Linked DNA regions of Schizosaccharomyces pombe. Each later gene encodes a partner of the first gene's protein in a complex. Each region holds a gene or a part of one and is shown in the gene's direction. Other genes may lie near its edges. The genes, in order: nsp1, nup85 and gle1.

What was found.
Region 2: nsp1 (region 1) and nup85 share a complex: the UniProt entries of both Schizosaccharomyces pombe proteins name them as parts of the nuclear pore complex.
Region 3: nsp1 (region 1) and gle1 share a complex: the UniProt entries of both Schizosaccharomyces pombe proteins name them as parts of the nuclear pore complex.

Annotation. Positions count from the first base shown.
Region 1 is NC_003424.3:3,363,230-3,371,523, reverse strand, and holds nsp1 (nucleoporin Nsp1), read left to right. Parts: upstream 1-1,971; 5' UTR 1,972-2,004; coding exon 2,005-2,008; intron 2,009-2,074; coding exon 2,075-3,867; 3' UTR 3,868-4,052; downstream 4,053-8,294. Other genes in the region: rmt2 (N-methyltransferase), read left to right, coding at 1-115; dsk2 (UBA domain protein Dph1/Dsk2), read right to left, coding at 717-1,781; mitofissin Atg44, read left to right, coding at 4,468-4,470, 4,504-4,592, 4,652-4,781; Tf2-4 (retrotransposable element/transposon Tf2-type), read left to right, coding at 5,976-8,294. UniProt on the Schizosaccharomyces pombe protein: Functions as a component of the nuclear pore complex (NPC).
Region 2 is NC_003423.3:2,173,156-2,182,038, reverse strand, and holds nup85 (nucleoporin Nup85), read left to right. Parts: upstream 1-5,608; 5' UTR 5,609-5,910; coding exon 5,911-7,938; 3' UTR 7,939-8,383; downstream 8,384-8,883. Other genes in the region: centaurin Cnt5, read left to right, coding at 1-294; rps2402 (40S ribosomal protein eS24), read right to left, coding at 623-958, 1,040-1,108; sib3 (siderophore-iron biosynthesis protein), read left to right, coding at 1,547-2,551; RRM-containing cyclophilin Rct1, read right to left, coding at 2,707-4,005; lysine--tRNA (Lys) ligase Krs1, read left to right, coding at 8,407-8,883. UniProt on the Schizosaccharomyces pombe protein: Functions as a component of the nuclear pore complex (NPC).
Region 3 is NC_003423.3:245,254-253,219, forward strand, and holds gle1 (nucleoporin Gle1), read left to right. Parts: upstream 1-1,975; 5' UTR 1,976-2,007; coding exon 2,008-2,145; exon of another isoform or gene 2,146-2,195; coding exon 2,196-3,500; 3' UTR 3,501-3,724; downstream 3,725-7,966. Other genes in the region: SNARE Pep12, read left to right, coding at 465-1,044, 1,175-1,386; GTP-binding protein Bms1, read left to right, coding at 3,834-3,935, 3,983-7,246; cell cycle transcriptional repressor Whi5, read left to right, coding at 7,895-7,966. UniProt on the Schizosaccharomyces pombe protein: Functions as a component of the nuclear pore complex (NPC).

The DNA of each region.
Region 1 (8,294 bases):
ATGTACATACGAATCCATGCCCGTAAGTAGTAAAGACGAGGAATGGAAAGGCGCAAAGCGTCGATACTGGGATGTTTCAAAGTATTTCTTGCCCATTGTCACTTTTGATTTTTAAACTTGCTGAACTATACGCTTGTCATCGGACGGAACTTTGGAATTTAGTTTTTGGGACTAAGGATAAACTATCTTAATACAATTTTGTCTATATCATTTTATTATTTGAAATTCAACTTTCATAAGCATAATTAAGTTGTAATGTTAAACAGACGTATTTTTCTTTTTTTTTAGTATCTTAAAACTGCTATCGTTTATTGAACATTATAAATCACTGAAGCGTAAGTAAACTGACAATTTAGAAAAAACTTATTTTTACACAACAAGTAAGCTTTCTATCTAGGAGAAGCATATATAGAATTCGTCATCGTACTTAAATTAAACGACTAAACATATTCATTCAAATCGATTAATATGATCATCGCGATAAAACAGAGTACGATGACTTTCCAGGTAAAGTCACTAAAAGTCTTGTTCAGGTAAATCTGGCAAAACTTGCAAGCATGGCATAATAATCTAAATATCACCAAAAGATTGGGCCGTATAAATTTTATTACAAAAGGAAAAAGGGAAGAGGGAAGTCTTGATACAAAGGGTATTATCCTTGAAATATATGAACACCAATAAGCCTGATTGATATATTCTAGAAACGAACAAAGGAATTAAAGATCACTCAACAAAGATTCAATAGCACCTTGCACGTTTCCTCCACTTCTTCTTAGTGCTTGAACGTTACGCTCGAAATCCACAAAGCCCATTTCATTAAGCTGGCTCAATTGCTCAGCATAACGCTCTTCTGGAGGGCGAGTATCTTGAGCAGGAGCTGGAGGAGAGGCAGCTCCCCCAAGGCCAGCTCCCAAACCGGCGTCTCCCAAACCAGCACCGAAGCCAGCTCCTCCCAAGTTATTTAATAAATTTTGAATGGTGTTGGCAGCAGCAGTTTGATCAACAGGTGCGGCACCTGCAATACCAGCTGTAGCATTATTAGCCCCTCCAAATCCACCTAAACCAGCTCCACCTAAACCGCCTAAGCCAGCTCCTCCTAGACCACCCCCCATTAAGGACATAGGGTCAATACCGGCAGCACCCATTTGTTGATGTAGTTGAGCCATTTGGCGCATTGTGTCGGGATCAGTCATCGCGCGACGGAACTCAGGGGACTGCATCATTTGACGGACATAAGGAGGTGCATTACGAAGATGCGGGCTGCTATTAATAATCATATCCAACATTTGAGGATTTGAAAACATCTCATTAATAGAAGACTGCACCATAGGATTAGACAACATATTGGCAAGCTCTTCGGTCGAGGGTGGAACAGGATTCTCAGGATTAGGACCAAACATAGATGCTGATGGCATAGGGATATTAAATCCAGCGTAACGAGCGCTAGTTAAATTGGCAAGAGGATTATTAGCACCCTGACCTGCTTGAATATTCGTTGGAACTTGTTGAGTGCGGTCCGATACATTCGTGGCGGCGGCTGCAGGATTTTGTCCTAAGGTTTTTACCAAATGTATACTATGTCCATCTTGAATTTTGTATGTTTTTAATGACTCTTCATCTTTCAGAACGCGACCAGCGTAAATCAGTCTTTGTCGTTCCTTCTCTATATCAGCTACAGGCGCAATGGCTTCCTTTAATGCAAGTACAGAAGATTCACTATCAACTGTAACTGCGTACTTTTGATCATTTGCCGCCTTAATAGTCAACGATATATTGGTCATGTTGTTGGGTTTGGTTAGGTATTTTCCACTCGTTCGATGACGCTCTTATGTAAAAGAAGTATCTTCGGTGAGCTTCAGTGGACCCTTTCTTCAGGTCCCAAAAACTCCGAATGGTGACCCAGTTCTCCGTTTTGGTTACCGACGTCTCCGAATTCACCGAGTTGTGACCGAACGCCATAAACATTTCACTGTCCTGATACAACTTTCAGCAAGACCCAAATCAATGTGTAAGTGTAAGAGGCGGCAAAGCTGGTCCCTTGGAATTTATTAAAATTTGCTAACAAAATCAATAGCTTTCAACCCAGGTAATAACCAGAATTCAGGGTTTTCATTTGGGAAACCTGCGCAGCCGAATTCAGCTGCGCAAGGAGCAGCAACTCCTGCGGCGACTGGCTTGTTTGGAAACACAAATAATAATACCTCTTCTACAGCGCCGTCTGGAGGCTTATTTGGTTCTAATAACGCGAGTAACACCAGTGCTCCCAGTACCTTTTCTTTTGGTAAAGCAGCGACTACAGGCAACTCAACAAATGCATCAACGAGTTCACCTTTTTCGTTTGGGTCTACTAATACCAACAATACTGCTGGGGCTAAACCTCTTTTCGGAGGTTTAGGAAGTACCGGGTCTGCTAACTCTACTGGTGATAAAAGTAAAAACACCGCTTCTTCTGCTACAGGTGCAGCAACTACTAATCCTTCAGGTAGTACTTTTAATTTTGGAAGTTCAAATAATTCTTTTAATTTCGGTAAACCCGCTTCTACGACTAATACGACGACTCCGGCAGCCGCTAGTACTGGTTCTTTGTTTGGGAAGCCTGCTGCTACAGGGACTACAAGCAATGCCCCTCCAGCTTCTTCTACTTCTACGACACCTGCTACTGGAAGCGGAGGTTTTAGCTTTGGAAAACCTGCTAGTTTAGGCTCTACTAATAATGCATCCACTTCAACCACTGCTAATTCAGGCTTTAGCTTCGGAAAGCCTGCAACTACTTCAGCTCCAGGATCTAACACTACTGTCACCCCCAGTAGCTCCATTACGGGAACCAATGACTCAAAGCCTGCTGCATCTAACACTGGTTCTGCTCCAACTACTGGTTTCTCTTTTGGTAAGCCTGCGGGCCAAGCAGCTTCAACCGCAACGGACAAAGGTACTACCACCACATCTTCAGCTGGTACTGGATTTAGTTTTGGAAAACCTGCAACTACAGAGGATACTAATAAACCTACTGCTCCCAACTCAGCTTTTACAAAACCGGCTACTTCAACTGGTGATAATAAGCCAACATTTTCTTTTGGAAACACTTCAAAACCTACGGAAAATACTAGCACAACAGCAACTTCAGCTCCGCCACTTTCGAACAATACGAAACCTGCAGAAGGTGCGAATCAGACTAGCTCTGGATTTTCATTTGGTAAACCTGCAACTGATACTACAACATCTACTTCAAAAACCGGTCCCCTTTTTGGTAATAAACCTGCCGATCCCAGCGCCAAGCCGGGCGCTACTGCCTCCACTACTCCTTCTGAGCCTCCTCCATCTTCTATCAAACACAAAACTCTTCAGGAAATCCTTAATAAATGGTCTACTGATTTGACTACGCAAACTGAAGTTTTTAATAAGCTTTGTGACCAGGTTTCTGACTGGGATAGAACTTTAGTAGACAATGGTGCTTTAATATCGAAATTATACACTGAAACTGTTGAAGCAGAACAGATGTCAAACCGCATTGATGACGGATTGGAATATGTATCTTCCAGCCAGCAAGAGCTATTTAAATTGCTGGATTCTTATGAAACTCAGTTGGAGACCTTTGATGGTCGTGCAACTTCAGCACTTAACGTCGAACGTGAGCGCGCTTTTGGTGTTGCTGATGATATTTTGAGTAGATTGGATCGATTGGGTGAAGACCTTGGTACTGTCATAAACCAAATGAATGATTTTTCTAAACCCGATGATTCAATTTCCGAAATTGTGAAGGTTTTGAATGCACAGTTGGCAAGTCTCGGATGGGTTGAAAATAGAATATTTCAAATGGAAGAAAAGTTGGATACAATAAAAAAAAAGAATTCTGACGTTTTGTTCTAATCATAATATTTAAGGAAATGGAAAACTATTAAAACTACCTAGCCCTTATTAATGATTTCCCCTCGGTCTATTCCCTGGTGCTGTTAAATCTAATAGATTGTGGTTTTCTTTTATCAATACTAAGGAACATCACATTATTGCTTGTACGTAAATGAAAATAATAAAATGGCATTTTCTTCATAAAATGGGTGTGTCAGTCTTGTAATTTATCGTGCAGTTTACCATACTTAACCCCAAGAATTTCATTTCACACTTATGAGACAGACCTAGATACTTTTCTCTTTTTCTTTACATAAGCCTTTATAAATTGCTAACTAAATTTTTAAACTAGCTGAACACAAAGGTTTTGATCTGTGAATGATTTTGACAATTTATGTAGTATTAATTAGCCCAATCATTAATTCCCCAGTTTTATGAATTTAACATCAATTATAATATTTTTATGTTATAAGGAAGATGAGAGGTATTCTATGGTATTTTTTTACCGACCTCTCAGTCTTATAAACTGACGCTAGACTAAACACTTACCTCAACCACACCCAAATACCTCTCCTCTCTGACGTTCTCATAGTGCCTTTAAAAAGATCTATTTAATCGATAATGGTATGTTTTAGCATCAAATAATACTAATAGTAGCCTTTTCTTTCCCGACTATTTCATTACGGTGTCGACTTAGCACTAGTCTCTACTTGTGTGGCCGGCATCCGTCGATCATCTGGTATTTCGTAAGTAGCATTCTCTAATTACATTTGTCGATATAGTTTTTAACAACATGTAATGGTAGTTTTGAGGTCGAGAAAATTCATAACGAAGACGTTAAGACAGCTGTCGAAAAGTATCTAAACTTTGGTGAATGGGCCTTTGATCAATCTTCTGCCTTCTTAGGTTCTTCAACATGGTTCAAAAAGGTATAAAGACATTGAATCTACATTTGAATATGCCTCTACCACTCCCTACGATGCCTTTATAATGTTTACTTTTTTCTTACTGTTTCCGCATTCCTTTTCAACTTGAAGTCAACAACTCAAGCAATTCATTTCATGCGTAATGCTATTTTTTTAGTTTAACTAGTTGGTTCTTTCGAGTCAAAGATTCAATTTTGAATTTCGTGTAGTAGTTTCTTTTTTACAGCGTGCGATTTTAGCTCCTTGTCTTCAATACCAAATCAACTTCCCTTTTATTTTTGGAATACGGTTTATAGTAAATCTGCTATACAGAGCGCTGTAATTTTGTAGTACAAAATTACAGAGTCCAAATTATCTCTGTTGAAGTCGTTTTTATTAAAAAAATGGCGTATACTTCCACAACAAAATTTTTAAAACTGCCGCTAAATAACAACTTAATATCTTTTGCGCATCTTTCATGGGTAGTTTAAGAGCTTTTTCTTTACTATGACTTTTGGTAGATTCAAGTTACGTTTGCTAAGTCATATTTCAAAAGTGGCAAAGTTGCAAAATCTTGTGTAAAAAATTGAGTAAAAGACATTGATCCAGCTTCGAGAACACTCATTTATTCGCTTTTTCTGACAGCTCATATTTTACATATAACTTTTAAATAGCATATTCATCTACGCATTTCGTAAAAGTTATCTTAATGTCAGCAATACTACACTACGCTATAATACACTACGTTGAGTATCACTATATGTCACATGTTCTAATTATATATCGTACCATGTATGATACGATATGGAGATTGATCTTAATGATAATCTATTAAGATCAATATTATCTGAATACTATAAATAGAGCTACTGCTGAACCTCGTTCCTCAGTTCAGTTATGAGCTATATTAGTGATAGGTAACATTATAACCCAGTTAATACAATACCTATACTCAGTTGCTACTTATACAACCTGTGTATTGTAATATAATAGATCACAAGGAAAACTCACCGCAGTTCTACGTATCCTTAAATCAGATACCAAACTGCGTAGCTTACAATAACTGAACTCTTGTGATCTACAATTAACTCCTTTAGGAAAAAGGAATTATTGAATAAATATATATCATAAATATATATATTTCTCTCCTTCTGGGTTCAAAGGAGAAAGAACTTTGGAAGGACTGTTATCCCTTTTGAAATCTCCCAAAGGGAAACATATACAATGTCCTACGCAAATTATCGTTATATGAAAGCAAGAGCAAAACGATGGAGACCAGAGAATTTGGATGGAATTCAAACATCAGACGAACATTTAATAAACCTTTTTGCAAAAATATTATCGAAGCATGTACCAGAGATAGGGAAATTCGATCCTAATAAGGATGTTGAAAGTTACATTTCAAAACTTGATCAACACTTTACTGAATACCCTTCATTATTCCCAAATGAGCATACTAAAAGACAGTATACATTGAATCACCTAGAAGAATTAGAGCAACAATTCGCTGAACGCATGTTTTCTGAGAATGGAAGTCTTACATGGCAAGAATTACTCAGACAAACAGGGAAAGTACAAGGATCCAACAAAGGTGATCGTTTAACTAAAACATTTGAAGGTTTTAGAAATCAATTGGACAAAGTTCAATTTATAAGGAAACTCATGTCAAAAGCAAATGTTGATGATTTCCATACTCGCTTGTTTATATTATGGATGCTGCCATATTCCTTAAGGAAATTAAAGGAAAGAAATTACTGGAAATCAGAAATCAGTGAAATTTATGACTTTTTAGAGGACAAAAGAACAGCCTCGTATGGTAAAACTCACAAGCGTTTTCAACTGCAAAATAAAAATCTAGGAAAAGAGTCCCTTTCAAAGAAAAATAACACCACTAATAGCAGAAACCTGAGGAAGACAAATGTTTCGAGAATAGAATACTCATCTAACAAATTCCTAAATCATACTAGGAAACGTTACGAAATGGTATTACAAGCTGAACTTCCAGACTTCAAGTGCTCAATACCCTGTCTAATCGATACGGGCGCTCAAGCAAATATTATAACAGAAGAAACTGTTCGAGCACATAAACTGCCTACCAGACCCTGGTCAAAAAGTGTGATATATGGTGGAGTTTATCCAAATAAGATTAATCGCAAAACAATAAAACTTAACATAAGTCTAAATGGAATATCAATCAAAACAGAATTCTTGGTTGTAAAGAAATTTTCGCATCCAGCTGCTATCTCCTTCACAACATTATATGACAATAACATTGAAATATCTAGCAGTAAACACACGCTCTCTCAAATGAACAAAGTTTCAAATATTGTCAAGGAACCTGAGTTACCAGATATCTATAAAGAATTCAAAGACATTACTGCAGAAACCAATACGGAAAAGCTACCAAAGCCAATAAAAGGGTTAGAATTTGAAGTTGAACTAACTCAAGAAAACTACAGATTACCTATCAGAAATTACCCGCTACCACCGGGAAAAATGCAAGCTATGAATGATGAAATTAATCAAGGATTAAAAAGTGGAATTATACGAGAATCTAAAGCCATTAACGCCTGTCCAGTAATGTTCGTTCCGAAAAAGGAAGGCACCTTGAGAATGGTGGTTGACTACAAACCTTTAAATAAGTATGTCAAACCCAATATATATCCGTTACCACTTATTGAACAATTACTTGCTAAAATACAAGGTTCTACAATTTTTACTAAACTTGACCTCAAAAGTGCCTATCACTTGATACGAGTAAGAAAAGGAGATGAACATAAACTTGCTTTTCGCTGTCCTCGTGGAGTTTTTGAATATCTAGTAATGCCTTATGGCATATCTACAGCTCCAGCACATTTTCAATACTTTATCAATACAATACTTGGTGAAGCCAAAGAATCACATGTAGTATGTTATATGGATGATATTTTAATTCATTCAAAATCGGAATCTGAACATGTAAAACATGTTAAAGACGTTCTACAGAAATTGAAAAATGCGAACTTAATTATCAATCAAGCAAAATGTGAATTTCACCAATCACAAGTAAAATTTATAGGGTATCACATTTCGGAAAAAGGATTTACGCCTTGTCAAGAAAATATAGACAAAGTCTTACAATGGAAGCAACCTAAGAATCGTAAAGAATTACGACAATTTCTAGGTTCTGTCAATTATCTTAGGAAATTCATTCCAAAGACATCACAATTAACACATCCACTCAATAATCTTTTGAAAAAGGATGTACGCTGGAAATGGACACCAACACAAACCCAAGCGATAGAAAACATTAAACAATGTTTAGTTTCTCCTCCGGTGCTACGACACTTTGATTTCAGTAAAAAGATTCTACTGGAAACTGATGCTTCAGATGTCGCTGTAGGAGCCGTATTGTCTCAAAAACATGATGATGATAAATACTATCCTGTTGGATACTATTCAGCAAAGATGTCTAAAGCACAATTAAATTATAGCGTATCGGACAAAGAAATGCTTGCAATCATTAAGTCTCTCAAACATTGGAGACACTATTTAGAATCCACT
Region 2 (8,883 bases), on another chromosome or scaffold:
GTAAAGGACAAGTATTTGTATAAACGATTTATTAAATCGTCATTTTCACACGATCCTAACACAGGCCTTTTGGAGTCTATTGAGCATAGTAATCTGAAAGAAGCTGTCCTATGTTTAGCACTGGGAGCAGACGTTAATTATCAAAGGGCTGTTGTAAAGGCTTTATTGAAGAACAACTATTTAATTGCTGAACTATTGACGTTGAACGGTGCCAGTTTGAATGTTGACGAAGTTACTATGGAGACGCTTTCAGCGCGGGCGCAAGCGTTTGTGATGAATAGAGCAACTCCTTGAAGGACAACTTGTAAATTTGAAAGAGGAAATAATGGTTTTTTAATTCGTGTGTATATTGGAAAGCTGAGTGAATTTGTTGAATATGCTGGTATGTTTGCATAGATGTTACATAGGTATATATATAAGCATGAAAAGCACACAGAATAAATTTTAAGATATTTCGAACGTATTTGTAGCGTTATGTGAATTGTACATATACTCAATGCATAATAATAAAAAATCTCAGTTACAAGGTACGGAAACAACAAAATTTACAATAATAGTTTTACGCGAGGGACAGAATGTATTGAGTTTTTGGCGAGAAAGGAACCTAAAGTAAGTATCTACTCTAGTCTTGTTGCTTAGATTTTCTCTTGGCAAGACGCTTGCCTGTACCAAAGACCTTCTTGCCTCTGTTCTTACGTTGCTTGCGTTGCTGACGAGCAACCTTTTGGATAGGCTCAGCTTGACCAACACGAACAAGACGGTAGTGAGGCTCAAACTTCTTCATGGACTCAGTAGAGTCATAGATCAAAGCGAAGCCGGTAGATCTGCCACCACCAAAATGAGTGCGAAGACCAAAGGCTTGAACGCATTCGGAATCAGTCTTGTACATTTGAGCCAACTTCTCACGAATTTCATTCTTGGAAAGGTTAGCCTTGCCAGGGTGAAGAATGTCGACGACCTATAAATTTCCGTTAGCTGATGTTGAATTAAAAATAGACCAAAAGGTCAAATAGCGGGAAGCTTCATCAAATAAACATACCATCTGCTTTCTTTGAAGCAAGCGGTTAGTCATAAACTTGCGAGTTCTAATTGTCACGGCCTCACTCATTTTAGAAATTTTGGTGACTGATGGTGGTAAGGAAAGGCTCTCACAAGGGATAGCCATTTGTTTGATGTTGTTTGTGACTGCTTTTTGGACTTTTTGTAATTTAATGAATTTCTTAAACAATACCTAAATGTGGTTTAAAGTTTTTTATTACTAAATCGTTATCACGTTTACAGATTCTTAGCACTAGGCTCTTGACATCACTGTTTATGTGCTACTGTGCACCAGCCATCTTGTAAATAACGTACATTGCTCACCGTATGTAAACAATTAAAACTAATTCCTATTTGTTTTAATATTGCTCGAGGATTCCAAATTGTACAAATTAGCGTCGCTGCTTCTATCTTTTGTTTAAGATTTCACCTGTAATTAGATAGTTGACGGCAATATCTATAACAATATATCTTAACTCTAAGTAAAATTCGAGAAATTTCATTCGGGATGTCCTTTACTGTTTGGTCTAAGACCGAGCCTTTCAAGCTTTCAGCTGTCCAAGAGAGTTTGATAACTTTAGAACATGACAATAAGAGATTGCTTTTAACGTATCGTGAAGAGTCCAAAACATGGGATATTGATTTAAATGGATTCCAAGACATGGACGTTAATGAAATTTTGCAGTTGGCGTTTCTTTCTATTTTCTACGTATTCCCTACTTTGAGAACAGAAGTCGTTCTACAGTGGGCAAACATTGAAAGTCAAAAAGGAACTTTGAGCCTTCCTGTTGAATACAATGAGTTAGAAGGTAATGTCTCGATTGACCGTATGTCTTTTTGGCAAATCCCGTCTCCTTGGATGTACACAAGATGCAGTGATTGGCCTTTATCTTACTTACCGAACCAAGTCATTCGTCGTCCCAAATGTCCAAAACCTGGTTCCACTCTGTATGAGCGATTTATACCTAGCTTGAATGAGACACTTTCCTTCGTATCTCTTGACATTGAGCAACATCTGCAGTATTTCCATGAGTGGCAGAACAAACCGAGAGTTGAATACTTTTGGAACGAGTCTGGTTCATGGGATCAACATCATGAATACCTAACAACACTTCAAAACGATCCTCATTCTTTTGGTGTCATTGGCTGTTTCAATGATGTGCCTTTTGCTTATTTTGAAGTTTATTGGGTTCCTGAGGATAGAATTGCTCCATTTGCTCAGCCTTGGCATACACATGATCGTGGTTTCCATGCCCTTGTAGGTAATGACAAATTTCGCGGGCCTCACCGTGTCCCCGTGTGGTTATCCAGTATTACGCATATGTTATTTTTGGATGATCCTCGTACTCAGCGTGTACTTCTTGAACCAAGAATTGACAATTCAAAATTTATTAACTATTTGATCGAAGAAAATTACTCCAAACGTTTGGAATTTAATTTCCCTCATAAACGTGCCGCATTTATGGAGATTACTCGTAACATGTTCTTTTCATGCTTAGGCCCTCGAATTTAGTACGACGATTTTTTTTGATTTTTTGCTTTTACAAGTATAAGCAATGTAGATTTCATTCCATACATTTGAAGTCTTAATCAATTATTCAACTATGTTTTAGTAATTTCATCAGTCATAAATAATATTCACAAGAAAGGTACGAATATAATAAAGATCTATCGATATCTATCATCTCTATAACGTCTATCATATCTATACCTTCGTTCAGGAGATTTATCTCGTAAGTGATCATCACAATTTTTATTTCCAGTATTTCTCCGTTTATGGTATGAACGATCATCACCGTAGTAGTTAGAAAATCTTTCATTTCTAAATGAACTTTGATCGTCACGATGATCACGCTCTTTCCGTCGATGCCTATAGTCGTCTCGGTAATTAGATCTGTCATAACGACCATCAGACCTACGGTGGTACTCACGATCATCACTACGAGACGAAGAACGTTTTCGGTCCCTATTGGAGTTGTAATATTGTCTGTAACGAGCCACGCTTTGGGAAAAATCTACGTGAATTCGAGAATCATCAATTAAAACATTTTGCATTTTAAAATAAGCTTTTTCAACACTTTCTTTGTTATCAAATTCGATAAAGGCATATTGAAGACTATCGCCTGTTTCTTTATCTCGAATAACTTGGCAGGAGATAATTTTTCCAAATCGCGAGAATATTAACTCTAAATCTTCATCTTGGGTAACGGGATTTAATTTGCAAACGAACAAAACGTTTTCGGGAGGAGCAACATGAGCAAAGGGTAAATCACCAATCATTTCTAGTGTAACAGCCTCTGCTTCTGCCTCCATTTCCTTCTCTCTTTGCAATTTATCTTCCGATGTTTCTGACTCAATTTGTTCGTTTTCCCCTATACGTACCGTAGCTAATTGTTCAGGCGTTGGAGACGGTGACCGCAAAGGCTCCACTAGATCGGGTGGATCCTCAAACGGGTCATCTAGTATAATTGTGTGTTTTATACGAATATCACGATAAGGCTGACCCTCTTCATCGCATATAGCGTCATTGATTTTCAGTAGCGTGTCAAAGCCTTCAGCAACCTGTCCATAAATTGGGTATCTTTCATCAAGTCCTTCTAAATTGTCTGACAAAGTTATTATAAACTGACTACCACAAACAAGTAATTTGTCATCTCTAGAAGATATAGTTGCTGTGCTCATACTAACCAAGCCCATTTTATTATGTACCAAAGAAGGATTAAATTCCGCTTTGAAAAAGCGTGTTCCTTTATTCAGTACATTCCACACACATCGACCACCATCTCCAGTTGGTCCAAGAGGATCACCTGTTTGACAGGTATAATTGTGCTGAATGTTATAAAATGGACAAAAATTATAGTATTTTAATTTGCATAATTTAAGAAAATTCTCACAAGTTTTGGGCGCTTCCTTGACGAATAAATCGATAACCAAATCACCAACTGTAGTTTCAATTAGTACAGACATGGCTTTTTAAAGATACTTGAATGGTATTCTTGGATGGTATGATGTAAGAATGTTTCAAAAAAACGATTGTATACATGCAAGAAGGCTTTATTCTCAGATATCCACAAATTACCAAAAAAATAAACCAAAGCTCTCAAGCGTAATATTCCAATTCAAAAAATATATACAAAAATTCAGCAAGTTATAACAGAAAATATAAATTAAACCAAAGCAATAACAAAAGGGTAAAATCAGTCGAACATACTGTTTATGTTGGTGTTTGGAAAGTTTTTTCTGTTTAACTCGTTAAAATCATTTGCAGTGATTCGTTAAATACGTAAACAAACTAGGCAAAAACGCAATGTGATACATTCGTTTGTAACACAATTAAGTAAATTTTTTATATTATATTCACTTATTAAAGCCTTAGAACATCTAGGTAGACAATCTAAAGTGATCATACTTTGTTTTGTTCCAAAGGTTTTAATTTGGTAAGGAGTAATTTAATTTTTTATTTTAGCGATCGTCACGCACAGTTTGCTCCTTCCTGCTGTCTTTTGAGCTAGGTCTTTCTTTCCTTTAGTGTTCCTTGAGTACATTTAACAACAAAGGTAATTCCCGCAAAGGAAAAATAATACACGACCATTCTTAATTTGTTTGTTATAGATACTTTATTGACTTTGAACGCATATTATCGATGATAATAAATCGACACTAATTCTGTTTAATATAATATTAATTAATTTGTACTTTGATGGCATATATCTTGACAAAAAAGCGGTATGCAAAGATTCAATTATGACTGTTTAGTTCTATTTTTTCAGAATCCCTTCAATAATGATATATATAGCATCAAACTCTGTAAGTTACCCTTGCATTTACAAATATTGCTATTAAACATAAATTGCTTAATTGCCAACAGTTCTCAATGAAACTTATTTTTAATGTATAACGTATTTTCATACTAGATTGCAAGTACTTTTCTTCGTTAGCAGCACAGCCTAAATTCTGTATTTTAACTGGAAGATACGAAATTCAATTGCGGACTTTTACGGCGTATAAACCGTTCATAATCCGAAAAACAAGTATGGCTATAATTAAGTTGCTAAAGTTAAATGATCATTGTCTAAGTGTGGACATGGTTGCAATGAATTTTAAAATCATTTAAGTAAACAGTTCTTCATTATAGAAATACTTTTTGATTATCAACTGTCCTTCCAACAGACAGGTAATGTTCTTTAAAAGAGTCAGTTGCAAGGTTCGAAACGTTAATTACGTGTGTAGTTAGTCCATCGAAGATTTATCGAATATGTAAGCATGAATCTTGGTTAATTCACTGGTAAAATAAGTGATAACAAATTTATATAGAAACGAAATTTATTACAATTTATAATTTAAATTAATTTGCAAACATGATCAATTTTTTTATGCCTCCATGAAATACGATCATGCATCGAATTTTGACGAAGATAAAAGCAACGGCATATTCGTTTCTAATTTTTATTTTAATTCCTTTAATTCTAATAACATTAAAGAAAGTCAGGAAGACTGCTATTTTTTGTTGCGACGATCTGAGTTCAAACTTCATATTGTAGCCTGGCTCCAATTCGATCAACCTTACTTTACGATTAAAGCATCTTTAAAGGAGTGTCTGCTCTTCCTTAGATAATTAGTATTATTCGTTGTCAAAAAAAACCAACAAGAATCAAGTGAGATTTAATTTTTATACTAAATTACTCCTGGTCGAGCAAGAGCCATCCTTTTTGACATCTGAAAAACGCCTGCAGGTGGACACATGCAAATTCCTAATACTTACTGATTTTTTTGAGTATCGGAAAGCAGATAAATATATTCTTTTATATTTTGGTTAATCCAAATCTTACAAGGCTTTTTTCTTACTTTCTTCGGAACTACTAACATTCCAATATGGAATCTTCGGATGAAGTGGATCTTCCTGTTTATCATTTACAAAATGCACCTATAGAAAATGGAAAGTTGAATGACTGGCGTTCAAAAGGCCGAACGGTAGCCTTCAAATTGCATCCTTTTTTGAGAAAAGGACTAGCGTACATTAATAACAAAGAATTTGACGAAAATACGTTAAAGTCTGATAAATTTGAAGAAGTAGAATCTCTGGTGTATGAATTTAGTACTCCTTCTACTCTAATTGAACCAAATTACCTTTTGACCGCATGGCATGAATTATGGGAAGAATTACAAGATACCTATATGACTCCTATCTTGGACAGCGAGGCAAATTTGCTTTTGTTAACGCAGTTTTATGGGAAAATAAGCTCGCTCTTCCGCTCTAAAATTATACAAGTTTTAGAGGAGTTGCAGTCGCGTATTAACGAGGGTGAAAAAGATTGTCAGCCTGTTTTGGATTCTTTATGGGAAGTGGAATCAGCTTGGCGCTGTGCTGAAGCTATTTATTTCCCCCCTTCTTCTCCTTATACCTTATCAACAGGAATTTTAGATTGGGTAAATGCCTATGATCCACAGCCTATTGCCGATGATGGACTCGAAATCATGGCTTATCGTATACCTTACCAACATCCTGAATTTTGGCCTTATGTTAATAAAACAGCTATTCGTGGACTTTTTGAACAAACTATATCATGCCTCGAGATGTCCGGTTTAACGAAGGAGTGGCCTGTACTTAAAGAAACAGTTGACGAACTTATTGATATATTACGTTACAGCCCTTGTACGCACCAAAAGAGAATTAGGTCGGTTTCCGATTTTGAAAGACGATGGAAACTGTGGCGATCACGCTTGGCTAACCTCAGACATGTGGTTAAGAAACATCGGGATATTGATTCGGAAGTTTTGGATGATTTTGTTGTTTTGCTTGATATTTTGAATGGAAATAAAGAAGTCATCATGTTAAGTTGCGCACACTGGCAGGAATATTTTTCAGCTTTAGCATTTTTATATGGTCCTTTGGATTGTAAAAATCCTGAAGATATATCTCTATTATATCAACTTGCAACTGGAGAAGACTCAAAGTTTTACGTTAATGGAACGATTGAGTATGAACAAATATGCGTTAATTTATGCAGTAATGAACCTCTTAACGCTATTAAACACGCCTATCTTCTAGATCTTGGACTAGCCGTGCATTTAGCAGACTTATTGAGTAAAAGCGGTCATTTGCGGGATTACATAACCGAGGAATATCCCATTACCTTACGTGAACATCTTATACTGGAATATGGGCAGTGTGTTTTAGAAAGTAGAAATCTTTGGCAAACGTCCTTTGCTTACTGGAAATGTGTTGCTGATTCCGGCTATCAACGAATAAAAGCTTGTATTCCATATGTCCCTCTTTCCGATGTGGATGCCAAGGAAACTGCACTTCAATTATGCAAGCAGCTTAAACTAAGGGACGAAGCTCAATTAGTATTGACTCATTGGGCTGATGAATTAATTGCACGTAATCACTATGGTGAAGCACTAATTGCTTTAGATAATGCTGCGAACTATTCTGCTTTAAATCGCGTTACTTGGGAATTGTTTGATATATGTATTGCAGAAAAGAAGTCATTTAGTCCCGATAAAGATGAACTGTTGTATGAATTGTTTAGCTCTCCTAAAGCCTGTACCCCGACCCTTGCCTCGATAATATCTCCAGCTGCTACAATTCATCAATATTTTTTTTACCTTCAGCACAAAAAAGAGCTCAATGCCTCTGAACTTCTTGTTGGGTTACTAACAATGGTTGATTTCCCTTCAAGTCGATTCCCTAAGTTATTAGAACTACTTCACGAATTTTTGAATAATCCTTTACAGTCTAACTCGACAGATTTTAAGCTTTCTCTTGTTAATGTTTATGATTGTATCGCTGTCTTACAGGATCAACAGTCAACTGTAAAGGACCAGCAGCTTTTACTATCCATTCATGAGCGTCTTTCTTCTGCGATATCATGGTATTTTCTTCACTTAAAAAAATAAAAACGGTTTAATTCTATAGTAGCTATGCTATATATTTTTTCTGCAAATTTTGGCTCACTTGTACATAATTGAGTTATTTACTCAATTGGGGATTTAAATTAGGCTATTTCTGTTACTTGACATTTTAATCTTTCTGTAACATAGAAGCTTCATACATGTTTTTATTAAGATACAATTGTTCATCTTAAAGACCCATTATAATGTCTCGTCTAATACCATAATAGGGAGGATCCAAAATCAGTGAACCCAGCCGATGTTGTAAATCTAAAAAATTTTACACATTTATTACTCACATCTTCAAACGTTTAGCATATATCAACAGAATCATTTTAAAAAAATATTAACTAAATAACGGAATGTGTTATATTACACTATCTTATGTTACGGAACTACCATCTACAAGGGGTAAATATTCTCTTCCTCCACGAAAATTTCTCTGAAACCTGAAAACGGCAATTGTAAGCTAAAATGAGTGAGGAACAGGTGAATGGAGTTACACAGGCTGTAAAGGCTTTAGTCCTTGATCCCGTCACTGGTGAACAAGTCTCAAAGACTGAGTTAAAGAAGCGCGAAAAACAACGTGCTCGTGAATTAGCTAAAGCAAAAAAGCAAGCCGAAAAGGCTGCGTCTGCTCCTGTTGCTGCTCCTAAGAGCTCTTCAAAGAAGGAAGAAGATTTGGACCCTTCCCAGTACTTTGAAAATCGTTCTCGTACTATCATGGAATTACGCCAAACGAAGGATCCTAATCCTTATCCCCACAAGTTCCAGGTCACCATCACCCTCCCTGAATTTATAGCCAAATATGAGGGACTAGCTCGTGGTGAAACTAAGCCTGAAGTTGAAGTTGCAGTTGCCGGCCGTGTTCTTGGGCTTCGTACTGCTGGTAATAAGCTGCGTTTCTATGAAATCCATGCTGATGGGAAAAAGCTTCAAGTTATGTGTCAA
Region 3 (7,966 bases), on another chromosome or scaffold:
TTTTTTATTTGAAATTCAAATTATCAATATTTCAATTAATTCCTTTTAATCGAATGTGTCCTATATTAGATTTCAGCCATTTTAGATGTTTACTAAATAGCGACTAATAATAACCTATTGTAAGATTGCCTTCTTTCGCACTATACATAAATAAAGAACTTTAGAGTACTTACGAAAGGCGTTCGCTCCGGTTTGCTGGGTCTTACTAATTCCTATTAGGTATGAGCCTTGCTCATAAGATTTGCATTCTTCTTCCAACTACTAAAACACTTGACAATTGTCAAGGTTTCTACGAACAAAAGAATTGTAACCTTAGCAAGGTGACTAATTATTGCTGAAAAACTTTGAATCTTTGTTTTCAGACTCAATTCAAGCTAATTGGCCAATTTTTTAATTATATTGACTTTCTTAGTACCTTTGCAAATACTGTTGGATTGCTTTGATTCAATTTTTTTGTTGCTATAATGTCTTTTGTTGACTTGGAGCAAGGAAGACATAAGATCGAGCAAAATGGTGACTTTCCAGCCTTAGCGAGCAGTATTGCTCAGGAAATTCATGCTCTACGAGGAAACACAGCAGCAATTCATAGATATTTGGTAAACAACCTTACGAAAAACTTACATGAGGTTTTAGAGCAATCCCGTGAACTATCTCAAAAGGTTCGTTCAGACTTGGTAAGGCTTGCCAACATCAAAGATACAAAATATGGAGAAGAAGCGTCGTCCTTCGCCTTATCAAAGCTTACCCGAGATTTTAATACGGTATTGGCTGAGCTTCAAAGAGTACAACAGAAATGCGCTCAACAAGAGTCTGATTCTGTAGCCGCAGCACAAGCTGCACTTAATCAAGACGTCGGACAACATTTTATTGAAGAGGAAGAGCGTAATGTGTCTCTATCAAATAATTCTTCTGGTCAACGACAGCCGTTGACTGAGTCAAAGATTTCAAATTCCCAACTAGAATATCAGCAAAGGCTTATTAATGAACGACAAGGTGAAATCGAAAATTTGACTCAAGGAATAAATGAACTCAATGAAATCTTTCGTAAGTATCAGCTAGTTGACATTTTTTTTTTTTCTGTTTACGTGATGGAGTTAGGAGTAATGCTAAATACTTGACCTAAAATATTTTCGCTTTTATAAATTTAAAGTTTTACTAACAATTTTCTTTTTAGGCGATCTAAGCACCATTATTAATGAACAGGGTGAACTAGTTACCAACATTGAATACAACGTCGGAAACACATCGACAAACACGAAAAATGCTTCAAGGCAGTTGCAGATTGCCAACGAGCATTCAAGAAAGGCTAGAAAAAGAAGCTTTTGCTTTCTTGTAATTCTAGTTGTTATACTGGGGGTAATATTAACAGCTTTAATAATGGGCTAGAAATCTTTTGCTATGTTTTCCTCATTCAGGTCCCAAAATGCAAATCTTTATAATTTAAATTCGATAAGAAGAAATCTTACAAAACATTTTCGGAATCGTGTGTTAGTATCGTTATACGTGAGTTGCTCTTCACGTGTTTGGTCATTACCGTATGTTCATGCATTCAAGATAGCGTATTCTATTCAATTCCTTGATACAGATTATTTCTTTACTTGATTTATTTTAATGACCTAGAGGAAGTCCTCCAATATCAGTTAATCCATTTTAGCTATAGACGAAGTCAAATCTCTCGCTTTGCCTGCAATTGTTTATATTGCATTCTTACTTATTGTATTTTTTTGCAACTTCATTGGGCTAGTTATACTTTGATTTTTAATTAATGATACTTGTTTATGTTAATATATACTTATGTCTCATAGTTTGGATGATTGCTTGTTCTGTTTTTTTAATTATAATTTAAACCGCCTAATACAATCTAATAACCTAAGACTTTTATAGTTTTGACACTTGTAATGTTAATTAAAGCAAGCATCAAGTTTCGATCAATTTGAGTTTCGCATAGTGAATGTCCATTCCAAATCGTCCTTTTACCAATTTCCTCAATTTCAGGAAATTTCAGTTATGGATACAAAAACAACACCTTTAATCCATGCTAAACTCGATGAAAAAATAATATCTAGTTATAACGATGCTAACGGTCTTGACATTGATGATTTATGGGATATATATAATGAAAAAACACGGCGAATGATTCACATAGTAAGTATTCGATTTTCTATTAATATTATTTTTATTAATAATGTTCTTAGATATCACAAAGGTATAAGCCTAAAAAACAATCTCCATTTCCTGTAATTGCCGATGAAAATGTGCGTATTTTCCCACCGTTGCATAAAACGATAGATTGGGCAAAGAAGAGGAATGTTGAAGAGCAAAATTTAATTGAACAAAGTATAACTGAATCTCAAAGAATTTTTTCAGAGAAACAAAGGTTAGAACAGGAACGATTTAATCGTGAATTGTTGGAAAAAAAGCGTATCGAAGCAGAACGCCAAAGACTGAAAGATGAAGAGGAGAGAAGAAAAAAAGAATTGATGGAAAAGGAAAAAAAAGAAAAAGAAAGAATCAGGCTGATAGAAGAGCAAAAACACAAGGAGAATGAACAAAGGCGATTAAAGCAGGAGCAAATTGACGCTAAAAGGAAAGAAGAAGAAGCTCGGGAAAAGAGAATGAAGGAAACATTTAAAGACGATCCTGAAGAGGACTCAAATATGGCTTGGTCCATCATTCATAAGATTAAGACTGAAGTAGTAGCCCCGATTTCTGAGAAAAAAGAGCTCAAAAACTATTGCTTTACTCAAAAACGGAAAATTACACCACGTTTAGGTCAAATTACTAAAAGCAATTCTCAAATCATGAAGATTACACAGCTACTGCAACAGACATTCCAAGAGGCCAGAAATACGGATCCCTTGGTCTATAAATGGGTTTTGAATTTTTTCTGCAAATCTGTGGTGAAGCAAGCAGAAGCAGAAGTTGCTGTAAACCCAATTAGCGCTTATCCTTTGGCAAAAGTTTGCCTTTTATTACAAACACAAAACGCCGACCTTAAAGATCTTCTTTTTGCTCGCCTACAGAAGAACTGTCCTTGGGTTATACCGTTTTGGTATGATCACGGTACGGAGAATGGTAAAAAGAAAATGGGATTTAAAAAGCTATCTGATGGCCATTGGGAACAAAATACTACATACAACGAGCGACAGTGCGGAATTTTTGCAGTTTACGCTGCTATACTTTCTTTAGACGATAGCTTAGCTCCCGAGAGCTGGAGAACATTTTCTCGATTGCTGAATCTTCCATCCCCTTCACAATTAATGAAATCGGACTTGGAACTAGGGCAAACTCTTTGCTCTATCGTCTCAACGTATCTTGATATTGCTGGTCAATCTCTATTACGAATATATGGAAGACAAGCAAAAAAACTTATTGTTTGTTCTTTTAGTGAAGCTTATCTAGGAGCGAACGGAGGTGGTAGTCAGTATGGTCGTCTTCGAATTGTTGGAGAAGACTGGATGAAGGGTCAAGGAGGGCTCAAATTCTCCTTTGAGCCTTAAATTTTTTTGATGGGTTTTCAACCTATTTACTTTTGATTTATAATATACTTACGGTAGAAATTATAGTCGTTAGGATGTGTACTAGATAATTGTTTCAATTTAATTCAACCATTACGATTTAAATGATCCTGGCTTTGATGTCAGTTTCGCTGATTAATACCATATTTACTTTTGCATTAAATAAAGATAATTTGACTCAAGAAATGCATTTTCGCTACAGACACTGCTATTCAAAATTTGTTATATCATGTTACCTTGATGTGACTTAAAGTGGATTTTTTCACCTACTCAACTTTGAGCCTTTACAAATATCTAGCTTGTTCCATAGTTGTCATGGACGAGAAGAAGGGCCATTATGCAAAACATTCTGGGCCAAAAGCTGAAAAAAAGAAGCTCAAAAAGGTGTCCGATGGTAGTGCTTCAAACAATCCTAAGGTATGTTGAGAACTTTTGTAAATAATCAAATTGGCTAATAAGAATAGGCATTTGCGGTAGCATCTGCAGGGCGCATGGCTAGGCAAGCTATGCGTACGGCGGATATTTCACAAAAGAAGCTTCACGTGCCAATGGTGGATCGCACACCGGATGAAGCTCCGCCACCAGTGATTGTTGCCGTTATGGGGCCTCCTGGCACTGGAAAATCTACTTTGATAAAATCTTTAGTACGTAGATATTCTAAATACACTATTTCTCAGATTACTGGGCCGATTACGGTGGTTGCAGGAAAGAAGAGAAGAATCACGTTTTTGGAGTGTCCTAACGATCTCAGCTCTATGATTGACGTAGCCAAGATTGCAGACCTTGTTCTCCTTTTAATTGACGCGAATTTTGGATTCGAAATGGAAACTATGGAGTTTTTGAACATATTAGCACCGCATGGTATGCCTCGCATCATGGGTGTATTAACACATCTCGATTTATTTAAGAAGACTTCTACATTGCGAGAGGCTAAAAAACGTTTGAAACACAGATTTTGGACTGAACTCTATCAAGGTGCTAAATTGTTCTACTTGTCCGGCGTTTTGAACGGACGATATCCTGATAGGGAAATCCTCAATTTATCTCGATTCATAAGTGTCATGAAATTTAGGCCTTTGCGATGGCGCAACCAACATCCCTATTTACTAGCTGATCGTATGGAAGACCTTACTTTGCCTGTTGACATTGAACAAAATCCGAAAGTTGGGCGGAAAATCACGTTATATGGTTATTTGCATGGCACAAATCTTCCTAAGCACGATGCCTCTGTACATATCCCTGGTGTTGGTGATTTTGTAACGTCTGATGTTTCTTCCCTAGAAGATCCTTGCCCGCCTCCCGATGCCGACAAAGTCCGTCGCCGGCGACTATCAGAAAAACAAAAATTAATCTATGGCCCTATGGCCGATATTGGTGGTATTTTGTTTGACAAAGATAGGGTTTACATTGAGGTACCAACTTCAAATTTTTCTAAAGATGAAAATTCTGAAGCTGGCTTTGGAGAGCGTATGGTTATGCAACTTCAAGAAGCCCAACAGCCTCTGGGAGTCGATGGTAATAGTGGATTACAACTTTTTAGCAATTCAGATGCTATTGATACGGTCGATAGAGAATCAAGTGAAATTGATAATGTTGGCCGTAAAACCCGTCGCCAACCAACTGGACTTATTAATCAAGAACTAATTAAGGAAGATGAAGGGGCATTTGATGATTCTGATGTTAATTCTGCTGATGAAAACGAAGACGTCGACTTTACAGGAAAAATTGGTGCTATAAATAACGAGGATGAAAGTGACAACGAAGAAGTTGCATTTGCTGATAGTGATTCCGATTTAGGAGGTCAATTTGATGATGAAGATTCTAATTTAAGATGGAAAGAAGGACTTGCTTCTAAAGCTGCTTTGGCATACTCTCAATCTGGTAAAAGGAGAAGAAATATTCAAAAAATTTTTTACGATGAATCCCTTTCCCCTAAAGACGCGTATGCTGAATATAAAGGTGAATCTGCAAAATCTAGCGAAAGCGATTTGGTTGTTTCAGACGACGAGGAAGACTTTTTTAAAGTGTCAAAGGTAGCAAATGAATCTATATCTTCGAATCATGAGAAGCTTATGGAATCGGAATCTGACCGTCTCTCGAAAAAATGGGAGAATCCACAGCTGTTAGCACAACTGAAGTCGAGGTTTATAACCGGTAGTCTCCTTGATTCTATAGAGGGACAGGAAGAGGTTTCTCAAGATGATGAAGAAGGTGATTTTGAGGATCTTGAAGATGAAGAAAATTCTAGCGATAATGAAATGGAGGAATCATCAGGCTCTTCTGTAACTGCTGAAAATGAGGAATCTGCTGATGAAGTCGATTTTCAAACAGAACGTGAAGAAAATGCTCGTAAAAAGGAGGAGCTACGTCTTCGTTTTGAAGAGGAAGATCGTGGAGATCCAGAAAAGAAAGACGTTGACTGGTATACGGAAGAAAAGGAAAAAATTGCACGTCAGCTTGTTATAAATCGAGAAGCTTTTGAGGATATGGATCCTGAAAGTCGAGCTGAAATCGAAGGCTATAGAGCAGGCACTTATGTACGTATCGTAATAAACGACGTTCCGTTTGAATTTGTTGAGCACTTTGATTCTCGCTATCCCGTAGTTGTTGGTGGATTACTACCTAATGAGCAACGGTATGGATTAGTTCAAGTTCGTATTAAGCGTCACCGTTGGCACAAAAAAATACTTAAAACGAATGATCCTCTGATTTTTAGTATGGGTTGGAGAAGATTTCAGTCGATACCTGTATATTCAATTAGTGACTCGCGTACTCGAAATAGGATGTTGAAATATACTCCAGAACACATGCATTGTTTCGGTACCTTTTATGGACCCTTCGTCGCTCCCAACAGCGGTTTTTGTGCGGTCCAATCTGTAGCCAATTCGTTCGCAAAGGCGGGTAGCTTCCGAATTGCAGCTACGGGCTCAGTATTGAATATCGATCAATCGACCGATATTGTTAAAAAATTAAAATTGACTGGTGTTCCCTACAAAATATTTAAAAACACAGCATTTATTAAGAAAATGTTTAGTAGTCCTTTAGAAGTTGCAAAATTTGAAGGTGCCAATATCAGGACTGTTTCAGGGATTCGAGGTCAGGTTAAAAAGGCAGTTGATCAGGAACATGGACATTTCCGTGCTACATTTGAAGACAAAATTTTAATGAGTGACATTGTATTTTTGCGGGCATGGTATCCGGTACAAGTGCGAAAATTCTGTACAATGGTCACCAATTTACTTGAGACGGATAAAACGGAATGGAACGGTATGCGGTTAACAGGAGAAGTTCGGCATGAATTGGGATTGAAAACTCCTTTACGACCCAATTCTCAGTACCAGGAGATTGTTCGACCCTCTCGACATTTTAATCCTCTCAAAGTGCCTGCCTCGCTTCAAGCTCAGCTTCCATTTAATTCTCGTCAAAAAGCCTTACGTCCTAGAAGCAAACCGACGTACATGCAAAAACGTACAGTTTTGTTGAATGCAGAAGAACGGAAGGTAAGGGATTTGCTTCAAAAAGTAATGACTTTGCACACGGACAAGGAAGCGAAACGTAAAGCAAAGAAAGCAGCAGAACATGAGCGGTATCATAAAAGGATGCAAAAAGAGGAGCAAGCATATATTGAGAAGAAGCGGGAAGAAAAAGCTGAATGGTTTGCTCAACATGGGAAGAGATTGAGACAGGATGGTAATTCTTCTGGTTCAGGGAAAAGATCAAAAAATTAGATTTTTAAAAATGCGTATTCTTTCTGTTTTATTGAGTTTGTACTGGTGCGTCATAGACGAACTTTTACAACTACATATACATTTTGGGAATTTAATGGGTTTAATATTTTATAAATAAAATGTGTTTATTATTTTCTGTGTACAGTTTGCATTTGAGCTTTGTCTCTCTTGTGAATGATTTGTATCAACTATAAGGTCATGTAACCAAATAATTGGGAGAATATATCTATGTTTCTGAATGCAATTTTTTTGGTCTATTTGCAACTTCTCATCGACGAAAACGGTGTTTACAAAAAGACAAAGGTACCAAGTAAATTGCATATAACCGACATCAGTATATTCATGTAACTTTGGCTGATAATCTTATGTTTTTATTGTTTGTATGGTAGAGTGTTTTGTTACTTGATAATTCTGGTGTTCTGCCTGTTGCTTTTTTCAATCGTTTGTACGGGCAGGCGCGACTTTCGACTTACCAACACATCGTTCAACGCGTCTTGTTTCAATTGAAACAATTATATGCTATACGGAGGATTATTTGATTGCAATTGGATATTATAAAAGGAATTTATCGAAAGGAGAATTCGAATAGGCTAATAACTCGTCATTTTTATATACCTGCATACAGACGAACTCAACAAATATTAATTCATGGCAGGCGGCCACAAGAAAAATGAAGCTACAAGGCAGACTGATGAAGTTATTCAACAAAAATACGATGAA